Linked DNA regions of Canis lupus familiaris. The protein of the gene in region 1 binds, or shares a complex with, the protein of each later gene. Links are inferred from orthologs where the notes say so. Each region holds a gene or a part of one and is shown in the gene's direction. Other genes may lie near its edges.

Region 1 (7,548 bases):
TGTAGTTTTAGACATGTTTCAAGTGCCTATTGGAAATCCAACTGGAAATGCTATAGAAAGTGAAGGTGTATTTTTCTTCCTTTTACTGGAGAATTACAAAAAGGGAAAGCCCCTCATCCTCCTTTCCTTCGTCATCCTTTTCTGCCAACGGGACAGTTGCTCATGGTTTGGTGGCGTCCTTCACAGCCACACAGGCTGTGGACACATGTGTGTGCATGACTTATGATATCAAATACTTTCTCATCACACCTCACCGCCCACATATCCAGGGCCTGGTAAGTCCTGAGAGCACCCCCACTCAACCTTCCCCATGCCCCTTCTTCCTCGGTCCTTGCAAACTCATATGTTGCCTTTCTGTTCTATAGGAGGAGGTTGTGTTAAGTTATTACCCTAAACTCAGTGTACCTGTGGGGTACTCCCAGAACTGGGGCCGCTTCCAGAACCGTGTAGCCTTGGTGGGTGACACCTCCCGCAATGATGCGTCTATCATGCTCCAAGGAGTGAAGGAATCTGACAGAGGAAGATACACCTGCAGTATCCACCTGGGGAACTTGACCTTCAAGAAAACCACCACGCTGCATGTGATCGTGAAAGAGCCCCAAAGTATCTGATCTTCGGCTGGGGAGGCATGAGGGTCCTTGTAGTTGGTAGGCATGGCCAGGACTAGGGGAAGGCCAGAGAGGCATGTAGGGTGCCACGCTGAAGGAGGCATCACTCTCAGGTGCTGTACTTACACGACCCTGATACAAGTCCTTGTACCCTGGACTTACATGATGTTCACGGTGATACCTCCTTAACTTTAGAGTCCTAGGCACCTCGCTTTCCACACTATTTGGTGAACACCAACCTTCTGCCAGAACTCACTCACTGCCCGTGTAATATCCTGATCTAAAGATACAGGAGCTCAGAGATGGGTTGGAGCTAATGTCCAAAGTTCTTTTTTACTTGGATGCTGTATGCTCTGCGGCAGAAGGGTAAATGACCCTGGGCTGGTGAGAGATGGCACAGAAGAGAAAGAAAACAGGAAGAGACCAGAACTCAAAATAGAAATGTTCTCTGATGAAAGGTTCTCTATTCTGGCAAACCCTGTACATTAAAGCCAGTGGTGTGTAGGGGAATAAAGATCTGAGAGAAGTCGGTAAGTGAGGGGTTAAAGTTAAACCATAACACAGTTAACAGTCAGGATGTGGCTGTGGACTTTGCATTTTGCTACAGATCTTTGCTGGAGGTTGGCTGTGGTTTTTTTGGGGGTGGGGATGTGGGCAAGGATGGAACTCACCTCAGTATCTTTGACCAAGGACTTGAGTCTATGAAGGCCCCTTCTTGTAATACATGGCAAAGGAGGGAGCGGGACAGAGGGATTTCTTCCCTCTCAGAAGCCCTATTTCCATTTCACAGAGAAAATACACTCCATAGTGGGAGCCCACTCAACCACCAAGCACCCACCCCCCAGGCCTATCTACGTTGCCCACATCCTCACCTCTCTGTCTCACCATCCCAGGGGCTCTTCTGCCCTGAGCTTATCCAAACCTCTGTGCTCAGGTGGAACTTTCTCCCTGTCTCAGGCACGTCACACTGTCTACTGGCTCCTGCCACCCAGACTGTAGATATGCTCACCTCTTCCTCTCACCTTCTGTCCTGGGCTACTTTAGCTCTCATCCTGTGTGTCTTTCTTCTCTTTAAAACAGAAACAACTCATACTATACAGTCACCCACTTAAAGCCTACAACTCAGCGATTTTTAGTATATTCAGAGTTGTGCAACCTCCACCGCAATCAATTCTAAATCTTTTTTTTAAGATTTATTTATTTATTCATGATAGATGTAGAAAGAGAAAGAGAGAGGCACAGGCACAGGAGGAGAGAGAAGCAGGTTCCATGCCAGGAGCCCGACGTAGGACTCGATCCCAGGACTCCAGGATCACGCCCTGGGCCAAAGGCAGGGGCCAAACCGCTGAGCCACCCAGGGATCCCCTCAATTCTATATTTCTTTCTTGACCTACCTAAGTAGCTAAGAGGCCATCTGTGGTGTCTCTTGTCTCTCCTCCCTTAACCTCTTAGTGCACCACATCCTGGCTTCTGCTTCTGCCTCTGCTCTAGCTTAGGTCACCAATGCTACTCTAATTGCCCACCTCAGCCTTCTTTACCCAAGTAATATTGGACACAGTATTCTCCATATAATCAATATATTCTATGTTGGATCCTCCCCCCCTTCCCTCCCTCCCTCCCTCCCTCCCTCCCCCCTCCTTCCTTCCCTCCCTCCTGCTCTTCCTTCCTTCCTCCCTTCCTTCCTTCCTTCCTTCCTTCCTTCCTTCCTTCCTTCCTTCCTTCCTTCCTTCCTTCCTTCCTTCCTTCCTTCCTGTCTAATCTATGTCTCCATCTAAATCCTAGCTAAACATTCTGCAAAACTTCAAATGCAACATATCCAAACCTGCCCCTGCACACCTCTCCCCTAGCTCATCTCTGTCACCATCTACATGGTTACCTAGCTGGATGCCTGAGAGTTGTACTGATTCTTCCCTTTCCCGTGACCCCCAGACTAACAGGTCAACAAGTCCTGTTATTTCTACTACTGACTTTGAGTCTGCCTTCCCCCCAGTCCCTCACCACGCTCTAGCTGTCTTCCTTTGTGTATTGGCCTGTAGCCCTCTAACCAGGGTCTGCTCTCCTTCTCAGCCTCTGCTCTCATTCTTCCTGCAGCCCTCAGTGCCACCATTCTAAACCACAAGTCGCAACATTCTGTCCCGGTGCTTAGAGTCTTTCAGTGTTTGGTTTTTCCATCACTTACTGAAAGAAAGCCAGACTCCTGGCTGAGATCAAGACCCTTCATGATTGAGACTCTGTTGTTTAGTTCCCCACTATGCCCCCAACTGCAACCTAGAGCCAGACCCATGGAACTATTTTAGTTTCTGAAAGTCCCATCCTCTTGGGCCTCCAGACCTTGTGTGTAATGCACCACCCCCATCCTTTCCCATATTGTCTGCCCAACAAACTTTATGTTTCCTTAAGACTTTTAAATTTTAAAACTGTTGAGAACTTCTCATCTGCTCCCCGTAGAATTAGGTACCCTTTTCTCTGTGCCCCCTGTACCCCATATGGACTTCCATCCTGGTCCCTATAGCAGACTGTGATTTTCCATTGACATGTTCATCCCTCTCCTTGAAGGCAGGGACCATGCACTAACTGTCTTTGTAGCTTCTTTGCCTAGTGATATCTAGCACCCAGGAGGTGTTTATGTATATATGTAGAGTGAAAGGAAATGGATGTAGAGGAAATGGATGAAGGGTACCATATGGGTGGAAGCGCTTTACTTGGTATCATGACTATGGGGCTGAGGGTTGTACCACATATCCTTTTGAAACCAACCACTTTCTCATTGAAAGATCTGAAGCCTCTAAAAAATCTGTTTTGTTGTTTTAAGATAGAACTGTTAATGTAAAAGGAAACTCTGCTGTAGGTAAGGTGCTATTCTCTTCTCCCACCCACCTTAATCTACACTGTAGGGGTAAGCAAGGAGGCCAGACTTGGTTCTCCATCTAATGGGGACAAGTGGAATGCCAGTATTTCAATATGGGGTGGAGTCTGGCCTTCTCTCCCAACTTCCCGAGTTAGTATAGATCTGGTGGGATTTCCAGCTCTATACTGGAATATTGAGACTGTCTTGTTGCTTTTTTCCTTTCCTAAGCAATGGTGACCCCAGTAGCCCTCAGACCTGAGATCCTGGGTGGTAATCAGCTGGTGATCATTGTGGGGATTGTCTGTGTCACTATCCTGCTGCTTCCTGTTCTGATTTTGATCGTGAAGAGGACCCACAGAAGTAAGAGGTACAGGGCTGGGTTGGGAGGCTGGCGGTTCCTCAACCTGAAGTAGAAGAGTGATAGGGCCCTAACTGTGCCACTTTCCCGGAAGGGGATACTTTAAAATAGAATCATCTGTGGTTGTCAGATTAGATGTCATCTCTCTAGTGACCCCAACCCTCCACTCACTCTAGTGACCCCAACCCTCCACTCTGTGTTGCAGAGGGCCTTGTACATCCCTATACCCTCTTCATTCGTTTTGGTAGTTTACAAAGATTTTTCAGCTCTTTTGTAAATGGTGGTTTAAGAGGAACATAATTAAGTATAAATCTTATGCAAGAGCTATAATGGTGCCATTCAATGCCTGAGGGAAATGGGTTTTTGAATTATGTACAATACACATTTCATAAGGAAGATCAGATCTTGAGGGTTATCAGTGGCTTTATTTAAAGGACCACACTCTAGGACACCTGAGTGGCTTAGCTGGTTAAGTGTCTGACTCTTGATTTCGGCCCAGGTCATGACCTCAGGGTCATTGGATCAAACCCCATTTTGGGCTCTCTGCTCAGTGTTTGTCCCTTTCCCTCTGCTCCTCCCCAAGATCTCGCTCTTCCCTCTGCTAATAAATAAATAAATAAATTTTTAAAAGGACCACAGTCTAATTCTGAGTGGCTATTTCTGAACGGATGTCCTTAGGTCCTAAGTTATTTATTGTTGAAATGTGTTGTTGAAGGCTTTAATTTCAGTACCCCTTCTCCCAGCATCTTGGAAATGCCCAGATGCTCCATCCAATAAGGCAGCAGGTTTGGCTGTTGGCAGGGCCGCATGCATCCATTGATTCAACTGTTGATGATGAGATACGTTGCTGGGGCAGATTGGCTCTCTTGTTGAAATGTCAATGGGCAAAGGACCTCATTAGAGTGCTGACTCTGAGTCTCCCCATAAAACATAGACTCTCTAGAAAGTGCTTTGCCTGCTGGGCTTCACTTCGTTCCCCAGGGCCTCTCTGACTTGGTTTGAACTTGGCTGGCCTCTCTGAGGGTCTTTGCTCCGGGCATGCAGATGGCCCCCAGCCCAAGTTAGATGACCATATCAACTCACCTCCCCACTCTGGGCCTCAGTGTCCCTCAAAATGAAATCAGTACTTCCATGTCAGTACTAAAGACATGGAAATCCTAAAGATTTAGGAAATAAATAATCAGATTTGTATATTGAGATTTATAAACATGGTTGCTGTAGCCCTGATGATAATTCAACATTGAAGTCATCCTCAGTAACTGTCAGGAAGGTGATGATTCACTAAATCAGTATTCCACTCAGTGAAATACTACACAATCCCAAATGTAACGGCATGGGAAGATGTCCCAGGAATCACATTACAGAATATATAACAGGATCTCATTTTTATAAAAAAGAAAATTAGTAATACTCACTTTGGCAGCAGATGCAATAAATACATTTTGTGTGAGTGCAGTAAGGCCTGCATTGAGAAAGGTTGGAAAGAATAATTCCAAAGTATTAGTAGTGCTGTTTGGGTGAAAAGAGAAGGTGGATCCCACAAGGGCAGGAGGTTTTCTGGAACTTCAAACTTCAACTCTCTGTGTTTCTTTAGTATTTGAATTATTTTACAGTGAGAACATACAACTTTATAATCATAATGTATGAGAAAACTATTTCCTCCACTTTGAGACAAAAAAAAAAAAAAAATGACTTCTAGCTTCAACCCTGATTTTTTTTTTTTTAAGTTCTACCTTAGACCAAAATAGGAAAAAAAAGGAACTGTATTAAGTAGCAGATGCAGAGGGCAGATGGTCAAGAGATCAAAGGCCAAGGGCTGGGAAGGGGCCAGGGTTGGCAGCTTAGGGGGTTTGTGGCGCTATTTCTGCTCAGCCTCTTCCCCAGGGGAGGAGCCTTTGAACTGTGTGTCTCAGCTGAGCTTCTATTGCCCCCTGCTGGCATGGCTACATCTCCCTACTCCCGGGTTAATGATAAAAATCCAATCCCATGATGGCCCTCCCTATTAATTCACTTAAAACAGTGTGGATGCAGAAAAATGTTAAGTAGGTAATAGGGAAGTCAGAGCCGTTCAGCCCAGACTACCTCCGGAATGCTTCATTCTCTCCATCAGAGAAATGCACTGCTCAGATTTCACAGTGAGCTGGGTGGCTTTGGCGGTGGGAGTCTAGAGACAATGGTTTCCCCCTCTGGGGTCCCCCTCATCACAAGACTCTGTGGGGTCTCATGTGGGCACCCTGGAATTTACAGTGCCAGCCAGTTAATTCCACATGCTTTTCCTGCCTTGCAGCTCAGCGACATCCACAACCCTGGTAAAAAGCCTGGAGAACATAAAGAAGGCTGATCCAGAGGTAAGGCAAGAACTCAAAACTCCATTTTGCAGCTGTTTCTGCATGGGGGCAGGGTAGATATGGCTCCAACATCCAGGGTGTCATTGGCATTCTCTGTGGACTATCTTACTCAGTATTGTATCTCAGTGTGGTGGCCAGTGCTGGGCACAGCACAGGGGCTCAGGAAATCTTCATCACAGAGTGAGAGCCCCCCACCCCACCCCAGGAGGGAGCGGACAGGGCCCTGGGGACTCTGGGTAGGGTCACAGGAAAGAACCCTGGGCTCAGTGTCAGAGAATCCCCATTCAAGCCCACCTCAGCCACCTCCCAGAGCCACACTTGTCTCACCAGTAAAATGAGGATGAGGACAAGCATATTTGCCCTGTGGTAAGGTTCAAATAACTGGATGATCTGTAAGTGCTTCATCATCTGTGGGCACTGTGGAACCATAGGGGAGAATTGTGGTACATTCAGGAATTAAGTGAAGGAGTTAACAGTTCAGATCAAATATTCAGGGACTCTAGGTGGCTGGGTGGCTCAGTTGGTTAAGCATCTGCCTTAGGCTCAGGTCATGGTCTCAGGGTCCTGGGATTGAGTCTTGCATGGGGCTCCCTGCTCATCTTTATGCACTCTCTCTCAAATAAATAAAATCTTTAAAAAAATATTCGGGTACCTTAAGAAAGAGGATCAAGAAGAGCTTTTTCTTCCATATTACTTTGTAATGGGGCTATAAATAATTGCTATTAGGGTCTGAGAAATGAATTCATTTCCTTAAACTACCTTTCCTCCCTCCCTCCCTCCCTTCTTTTAAAAACTCCTCTTGGAATATTTACTTTTTCCACCTTTTGCCCTGTTTATGACCTAAGTGTAGGATTTTGTCACAACCTAGTGCAGGGGCCTCCAGAAGCCCAAGAGTTTGTCACTGGATGACATCACCTCCCCAAATAGTGACAGGAATGTGAATCACAAAGTACCACCCACCTCACAGATGTGAGGTTCAGTGAGGGCTGTCCCTGCCATATAAACCCTCTCAGAGATGACCACAGTTAGTGGCCGATCAATGCCATCCTGCCATGGCTCCAGTCAGAAGGAAATAAGCATGGAATACAAATAATCCAGCAAGATAAGAATCCCCTGCTGCTGCCTAAGTGCCTGTCCAAACAAAGAACTTTGTCTTTTGAAGCAAAGAATTTGGTTCTCAAGAGAGTAATCTTTGCTGACGAGCCAACTTTCTTAATTGCCAGGAAGACTGGGAACTAAATTATCATTATCCACGATAATTTTCTAACTCTCAATTACCTTTTGGTGTTGATGCCCTGTGAATAGTAGTAGATGGTTTTTTCCTCTGGCATCTAACATTTGCTGATCTTTGGTTAATGTTCCCACCACTCCTGTCCCTCTAGAAAC
Region 2 (7,623 bases), on another chromosome or scaffold:
CACATCAGGCTCCTGCATGGAGCCTGCTTCACTCTCTGCTTATGTCTCTGTCTCTCTTTGTGTCTCTCATGAATCAATAAAATCTAAAAAAAAAAAAAAAAAGGATTTAGAGACCTACGATAGTCTGGCTTCCAAGAGTGACAAAGATGAATGATCTGCCTTTTTGGCCTTCTAGAAATATTTAGAGTAAGATAAGAGATTTGTTGGGGGGATCCCTGGGTGGCGCAGCGGTTTGGCGCCTGTCTTTGGCCCAGGGCGCGATCCTGGAGATCCGGGATCGAATCCCACGACGGGCTCCCGGTGCATGGAGCCTGCTTCTCCCTCTGCCTGTGTCTCTGCCTCTCTCTCTCTCTGTGTGACTATCATAAATAAATAAAAAATAAAAAAAAGATTTGTTGGGTTATGAAAATGCCTATCACATGAGGCAAAAAGTAGGGACTGCAAAAAAAAAAAAAGTACTAGAAAGAAAGGGATTAAGATAAAAATCCTTTGGAATAATTTCAAAAGATTTCCTCTAGTAGTGGTTGAGATAACCCATGAAGGGTGAGTTTAATTTCTACTAGAGAAGACACAATGAAAAAAAAAAAAAAAAAAGAAGACACAATGAATGTGTGCTGCTTTGAAGTAATCATAGAAAAATTCTCATATAACAGTCTTTTTTTTTTAAATTTTTATTTATTTATGATAGTTACATCAGAGAGAGAGAGAGAGGCAGAGACGCAGGCAGAGGGAGAAGCAGGCTCCATGCACCGGGAGCCCGACGTGGGATTCGATCCCGGGTCTCCAGGATCGCGCCCTGGGCCAAAGGCAGGCGCCGAACCGCTGCGCCACCCAGGGATCCCATCATATAACAGTCTTAACTAGATATAACTTTAATACTCTTTTCTAATTTCATGAAGTATGTGTTGAGTAAAAATTTTAGTTCTAGATATTTTATACCTTCAATTATATCTAGGAGAGTTTTTGTTTCCTTAATAGGAAATCCCTAGGACTGTCCAGGGCGGGGCGGGGCGCGGCAGCGGTTTAGCCCCAGGTTGTGATCCTGGTACCCGGAATGAGTCCCACGTCCCAGGTCCGGCTCCCTGTGTAGAGCCTGCTTCTCCCTCTGCCTGTCTCTGCCTCTCTCTCTGTATGTGTGTCTCTCATGAATAAATACATAAAATTAAAAAAAAAAAAAAAGAAGGAAATCCCTAGCAGTTATTCTGGACTCTGCTTAGATCAGTCACAATTCTACTGGAGACAAGGTAAATCAGAATCGCTGGAGTGAGGGTTCAGATACTGGTATTTTGTAGAAGTTCTCTACATAATTTTAATTTTTTAAAAAATATTTTATTTTATTTTTAAGTCATCTCTACACCCAAGGTAGGGATGGAACTCAAACCCTTAGGTCAACAGCCCCATCCTCCACTGACTGAGCCAGCCAGGCGCTCCTCCAGATTATTTAATTTATTTATTTTTGTTTAAACAACAGACATTTATTTTTGTACAATTCTGGAGGCTAAGAGTCCGGGGCATAGATGCCTGCAAATCTGATTTCTGGTGAATCCTCCAGATAATTTTAAAGTGCAATCAGGATAGCAGACCACCAGGCTAAATTTCAGTTGAGCAACTTTGGTCTTACTAATAACTGATTTACTTTCCTTTGCTGCTTCAATAAATAATAAGAAATGTCCAATATCAGGGCACATGGGTGGCTCAGTGGTTCTCGTATAACAGTCTTAAATAGATATAACTTTAATACTCTTTTCTAATTTCATGAAGTATGTGTTGAGTAAAAATTTTAGTTCTAGATCATTTTAGTTCTGGAACTGCCTTTGGCTCAGGGCGTGATTATGGGGTCGAGTCCCCAATCAGGTTCCCCACGGGGAGCCTACTTCTCCCTCTATGTCTCTACCTCTCTCTCTGTGTCTCTCATGAATAAATAATAATAAAATATTTAAAAAAGAATTGTCCAATATAATTTTTTAAAAAATATTTTATTTATTTGAGAGAGAGAGAGAGAAGAGACAGCGGGCGCAGGAAGGGGCTGGGGAAGCAGGCTCCTTGCTGAGCAGGGAGGGAGCAAAGGGTGGCTGGATCCCAGGACCCTGGGATCATGCCTTGAGCCCAAGGCAGGCGCTCACCAGACTGAACCACCCAGGCGCCCCCCCCCCCAGTATATTTTTTTTTTTTAATTAGCTACCACTGGACTGAGTATTTACCATGTGCCAGGCACAGTGCCAAACATTCTTTTGTGCATTATCTCTTCTGATTTTCCTAACTAGGTGAATTTCCAGACTACTTGCCCAGTTAACTGCCCCATTCCCGGACCCAAGGACTTAGCCGCTGCACCACCCCGCTGCCCTCTTCCAATTCACTCCTGATATGGAACGGTCCGGAACACCAAAGTCTATCGGCAGCTATAAATAAACAGTATCTGCAAAGAGCAACCGAGAACACAGATGACACAGAAGAAGTATGGAGGATACCAGGAAGTGACACCGTAGAGTTGACCAGGCAATTCGAAATCTGCCATTCCCGGGTCCCCCAACACCTCGTCCAGCCTTTAGTCACCCCTACCCGCCCCCCCCCCCCCCCCCGGGAAGCTCACTGGTTCTTGGCGGCCAATTTTAGGGTGAGAATAACCTTTGAATACCTAGGATCAACAACAACAAAAACCCAAAAAGCAGTCGAGGTATTTCTCACATCCATCCGAAGCTCTGGTTTAGAGGGTTCAGTCATTACTGGAGATGGGGAAGAGCCTTCCAGAGCCTTCCAGAGCCTTCCAGAGCGGCCCGCCGGCTCCACGCAATGGGGGGGAAGCCGGCGCGGCGGAGGGGGGCGGGGCGCAGCTCGGTTCGCTTTCCCCGGAGCCCGCGGTGGGAGGCGAGGCTGGACCCGCACCCCGCCCGGTGCCCTCCTGCGCCGGGCGGGGCGGGGTGAGGACCCGCGAGGCCAGCGCGACTCGCGCCTTCAGGAGCGCGGCCCGGAGGCGAGTGTTGGCGACGCCGCTCCCGGAGGCGAGGCGCGACCGCGGCTGGAGCTGTCGGGGCAGAGGCGCTGGCCCGACCCTGGAGCCCAAAGCGCGATTCGACGGAGGGCTCGGAAGCCGGGCCCGGCTCCTGCTGGGGCGAGCGGGCGAGCGGGCGGGGTCCCGCCCCCCACTCTGGGCGCAGCCCGCGCGGGAGCTCGCGATTCGCGAGGGTCCCCAGGGCAGCCCGCGCTGGTTGCCACGGCAACGCCACGCTCCTGGCGGGGCCGGCGCGCGCCGCGGGGCCCCGTCCCTACCGGAAGTGACGCGCTTCACCTGCCGAGCGAGGGTGGGGCGGGGGGGACGGGGCGCGGAGGTGCCGCGGCCGCCAGCCAGTCGGGAGCGCGCGGGCCCCGGGTGGTGAGACCCCGGGCGAGGGCCGCCTCCTCCAGTCGCCGCCCACGGCCGCGCCGCCACCATGGCGCTCCTGCTGCGCTTCGTCCTCCTGTGCGGAGTCGCGGGTGAGCGGGGGGCAGTGCGCTTCGCGGGGCTCCCGTCGCCGGCACCGCCCCGGGGCGCTCGCTGCCCGCGGCCGCCCGGGAACAATGAGCGTGGGGGAGGGGCCGGGCGCGGTTTGGGGGCTGCGGCCGCGTGGCCGGGAGGCGGGGTCGCCCTGGGGAGGCTTTGCGGAGCCGGGCCCGCGGGCCGGGAAGGTGGGCGGGCGGGGAGGGAGCCGTGCGGGGCCGCGGGATGCCCGGGGGCGGCGGGGGGCTCCGGGGCGCGGGTGGGTGGGCGCGGCGTGCGGGGGCGCCTGGCGTCTTCGCTGCGGGGCGACCTTCGCTTTATTCGCTCCCGCCCGTTTCCTCGTTAGCCGCCGAGTCGTGTCGGTCCAGCGTTCCTGGGCTTCAGAAGCCGTGGGCTGCGAGTTTTCCAGGTGTCGAGCAGTGCGGGCGGGAGGCTGAATTTCCAGCGCCGAGATCGAGCCGGCCCTGAGCTCCCCCGTGCCTCGACCGTGCAGCTGTAGCTGCCTCTAGCGAGAGGCGCTGGACGGGCGGCGGCTGCAGCCTCCCCGACCTGGTTCCAGAGGCGAGCCCGAGCCCGAGCGCGAGCGCGAGCTGTTAGCCCAGAGGTTAGCTCGACCGAAGGGGAGGGCTGCAGATCCACGTAGGCTCTCGATTCTGCAGTCCCGGAGCAAAGTGCACGGAAGAAATTCAGAGCCTCGCTTTGAGTTTACGACGAGTTCATTCATTTTTGAAGATACGAGGGGATGGCTTGTACAGGGCAATCCCTAAAGGATTCGCCAAGTGCATTTTCTGACTGCGCTCTTCTCGGGAGGGGAATTTTAAAAAAAGGCATCTAAAAAATGCGTGGACATTTGAAGGCACAATCATTTGATGCTTTTTAAGAAACGGATCTGTTTTCGTGGCAGTGTTTTAACTGATCTTGTTTGTCAAGATGAGCACTTGTCGCTGTTGGAACCAAATGGTTAGTTAAAAAAAAAAAAAAAAAAACCCGTAAGTGTGACCGTCGCAGGCACACTTTTTATAGTCTCTGGAAGGATTTTTCTTTCTTTCTTTCTTTCTTTTTTTTTTTTTTTTTGATGTGTTGGAAAGGATCGAGTGGCCCTTTCTGTTGGGATAGCTCTCTGCTTCCTGTTGAAATGTTAATTCCATTGTTGGATGCCACATCTGTGAGCGTTACTCAGGGGATCAACATTCTATTAACAAGTCTAATCTTCCATCGATAGCACCACCTCCACCTTTTTAATACATATCATTTAGATTTGGGTGAAAATTTCAAAGTAAAGCTTCCGGAAAAGATGAAGGGTCAGTAACCAGTTTACGTGGTACATTCCCCTCGTTTGTTTTGTCGGGGACTAAATTTGAAGTGGAGAGTGCATGTTCTCCATGGAGAAAATACTTTAGGCTACATCCAGAGCAGAAAAATGGAATAACAAACCATGTAGAGGATCTCTCTTTTTTTCCCCTTCTGGGGATGTCCAGATAATTGGATTTCATTTTTTTCTGGACACCTCACTTTACTAGGTACAATCTCAACTGAGGACATGTTTAATATATACAGAGTCATTCTGCTTTTAAACTGTAAGCTTGGATAGTGAACTTCTCATTAAAGGACTGTTTTTAGCATAAGAAGACAACTATTTTTAGTTCCAGTTTTCCAGCTTAGGGAACAGCTCTAAAGCTATCTAACTGATGGGTGGCTTTGAGTATTTCTTCAGATACTCTTGCCATTTTAGACACTCATTGCTGTGAATTCAATTTGAGTGGTAACGTGATTGGCTTCTACATTTGGCAAAACAAAGCAGAGGAGGCTTTCATATTAAAAATCGCAGTGCCATTTTTCCTCTAGATCTGTTTCCATATGGGCTGTAAAGAGTTTTGTCATATGTTCTAGTTGCTAGTGGAAGGCCTTTGGATGCATTTTATTACCTACCCAGTAGGAAATCATACTACCAGTAATAATAGTGGCAATAGTAGTAAAATTAAAGTCTTGATTGAAAGTTATTAAATGCCAGCCACTGTTAAGGGCTTTATATATGTTCCATTTACCTAGCAACCCTGGAGGGTATGTATTATAATGATCCCTGTTGTACATGTGAGGAAACTGAGACACGGAGTAGTTCTTTAACTTAATTTGCTGAGGTCACAAATTTCCTTCTTAATCCTTACCCTTCCCACTATGCTGTTTTGCCTCTGAAGCAGTCACTTTCTTCTTTGGTTATCTCTGACATTCTAAATTTCTATCACTGCTTCTCTGTCACATAGTAAGAACCTGCTGTTGGTTTGACTGTGTGCCAAATACTGAAGACTTCTTTATTAGCCCTTTAATTTCTTGAACTTAGTTTAATGCTTTCAGACACTATTAGGAAAGCATGAGGAGCAAGAAAAAGCTTAGGCAGCTATTGTAAATTGATGTGGCCCATGTACCATCAGCATCACCTGGGGATCTTGTTTGAGACGCTGCTTCTCACGCTGGCATCATGAGTGAAACTAAAAAGTTCTTGTCTCCCCACCACATGTTAGCCATTTGACGACAGCTGTAGGCTTCTGTCCTTTGTGTGTGCCTCAGTTGCTTTATGTATCAAGAACAAGGATCCTATCATCTCAGAGCCATTAAGGAACAAAGTGAAATGTTTATCATCTTTCCTGGAGTCTTCCTTTGCATAAAAAATGGGAAGATTAAATATGAACTTTATCTCCTCTATATATCTCTTTGTTTACATTTTGGCCATTATACCAACCACCTAAAAAAAAATGTTGCCTCTTCTTCACAGCAACCCACTTTCATTGGCTCCTTACCCTATTTGTTGTGGGGTGTCCATCAGTTTACTCAGTTTATCTCATTGCACTAGGTCAGAGGGTAGGGGCATTCTTTGTGTTCTTGTTATAGTCCTGGTGTTAGTGTGTGGAATGTGGTAGATAGCAAATGTTCCATAAATGTTGTATGACTGAAAATTTGCAGCCTTTTTTTTTTTTTTTACCACGAGGCCCATGTATATGGTGTGGCTCTCATCAGTTCCATCTCTCTCTCTCTTCAAATAATGATGATCTTTGTAGTGGTCTTTCCAGTAGCCTTGTCTCAGTTGCTGGTCTAAAGAAGTTAAGCTTTTGCTTTATCTTTGATCTCATTGTTCTATTCCACTTCAGTTGTGAGAGGTAACTATAACAGTGTGCCAAATCCGTTTATCTTTTTTGGAGCTCCTTGATACCTATTTTGACTCTTTTCCACCCTGCTAACCTGCTCTTCATACTTCTACAGTAGGTCCCTTAAATATCAGCCTTCCCCATGATTTGGCCCACAGTCCCCTTCTTTCAATCTTAAACCGGGGTGACTTCATTTATCCATTACTATAACCTCTAAAAAGTTGCTAGTGACTTAAAAATAGTACCAGTTCAGCCTACCTCTCCTTTGAATTCTGGGTCCCTGTTTCCAGGTGCCTACCATTCACATTCCACCTGAATGATCTTTAGTACCTCAGACTCTACAAATGTCAGGCCAGGCTCACCCATTAATTAATTGATTACATGATTCAATCATTCAAATATTTATTGCCTACTATGTGCTTGTGTTAGGTGTCCTTACAGTAGTATAGAACTTTGCAAGGTGCAAAGCTTTGATAGGTCATTCCCAGCAGATGGTATAGCTTTTGCAAAGACATGGAGATCTGAAAGGGTATGATGTGTCTTGGGAGGTGAGAAATTCAGTTCATGAGAGCATCTAATCACCACTTCTCAAACTTTTGATGGAAATCTGAGTCATTCTCCTAAGAAAGTTGGGCGAGGCCTGAGATTTTTTTTTTTTTTTTAAGATTTATATTTATTTATTCATGAGAAAGGCAGAGACACAGGCAGAGGGAGAAGCAGGCTCCATGCAGGGATCCCAATGTGGGACTCGATCCCAGGACTCCAGGATCACACCCTGAGCTGGAAGACAGATGCTTAACCGCTGAGCCACCCAGGCATCCCAGATTTTTGGTTTTTAACAAGTTCCTGATGATTTCACTACTGACCACACTCTGGGTGAGTGAAGCTCTAAGGCTGTGCCAAGAGCTTAGGGGATGAAAGATAATGGACATGTGTCAAGTTATACCACCCTCTGTGGTGGCACTAAGAAGCTTGTGGAGACATTAAAGAAGTGAGATGAAACACTGA

What was found. Proteins that work in one complex are often made in the same cells at the same time.
Region 2: the proteins of JAML (region 1) and CXADR are in contact, whole or in part, in a crystal structure (PDB 3MJ7), measured with the Mus musculus proteins. The link is inferred for Canis lupus familiaris from reciprocal best matches to the Homo sapiens genes JAML and CXADR. Residues at the interface, in NP_001005421.3 of Mus musculus: Arg57, Asp59, Ala69, Tyr72, Phe75, Tyr77, Leu80, Val82, Glu120, Arg122, Ser127, Met128, Val129, Met130, Lys131; in NP_001020363.1 of Mus musculus: Thr23, Gly51, Pro52, Asp54, Glu56, Leu58, Ser60, Gln65, Ile66, Val67, Asp68, Gln69, Val70, Leu73, Tyr83, Lys121, Lys123, Lys124, Ala125, Pro126, Gly127, Val128, Asn130.

The regions. Positions count from the first base shown.
Region 1 is NC_049226.1:15,528,823-15,536,370, forward strand, and holds part of JAML (junctional adhesion molecule-like), read left to right. Parts: intron 1-365; coding exon 366-603; intron 604-3,684; coding exon 3,685-3,823; intron 3,824-6,101; coding exon 6,102-6,162; intron 6,163-7,544; coding exon 7,545-7,548. UniProt on the Homo sapiens protein: Transmembrane protein of the plasma membrane of leukocytes that control their migration and activation through interaction with CXADR, a plasma membrane receptor found on adjacent epithelial and endothelial cells.
Region 2 is NC_049252.1:14,458,794-14,466,416, forward strand, and holds the start of CXADR (coxsackievirus and adenovirus receptor), read left to right. Parts: upstream 1-3,320; 5' UTR 3,321-3,428; coding exon 3,429-3,471; intron 3,472-7,623. UniProt on the Homo sapiens protein: Component of the epithelial apical junction complex that may function as a homophilic cell adhesion molecule and is essential for tight junction integrity.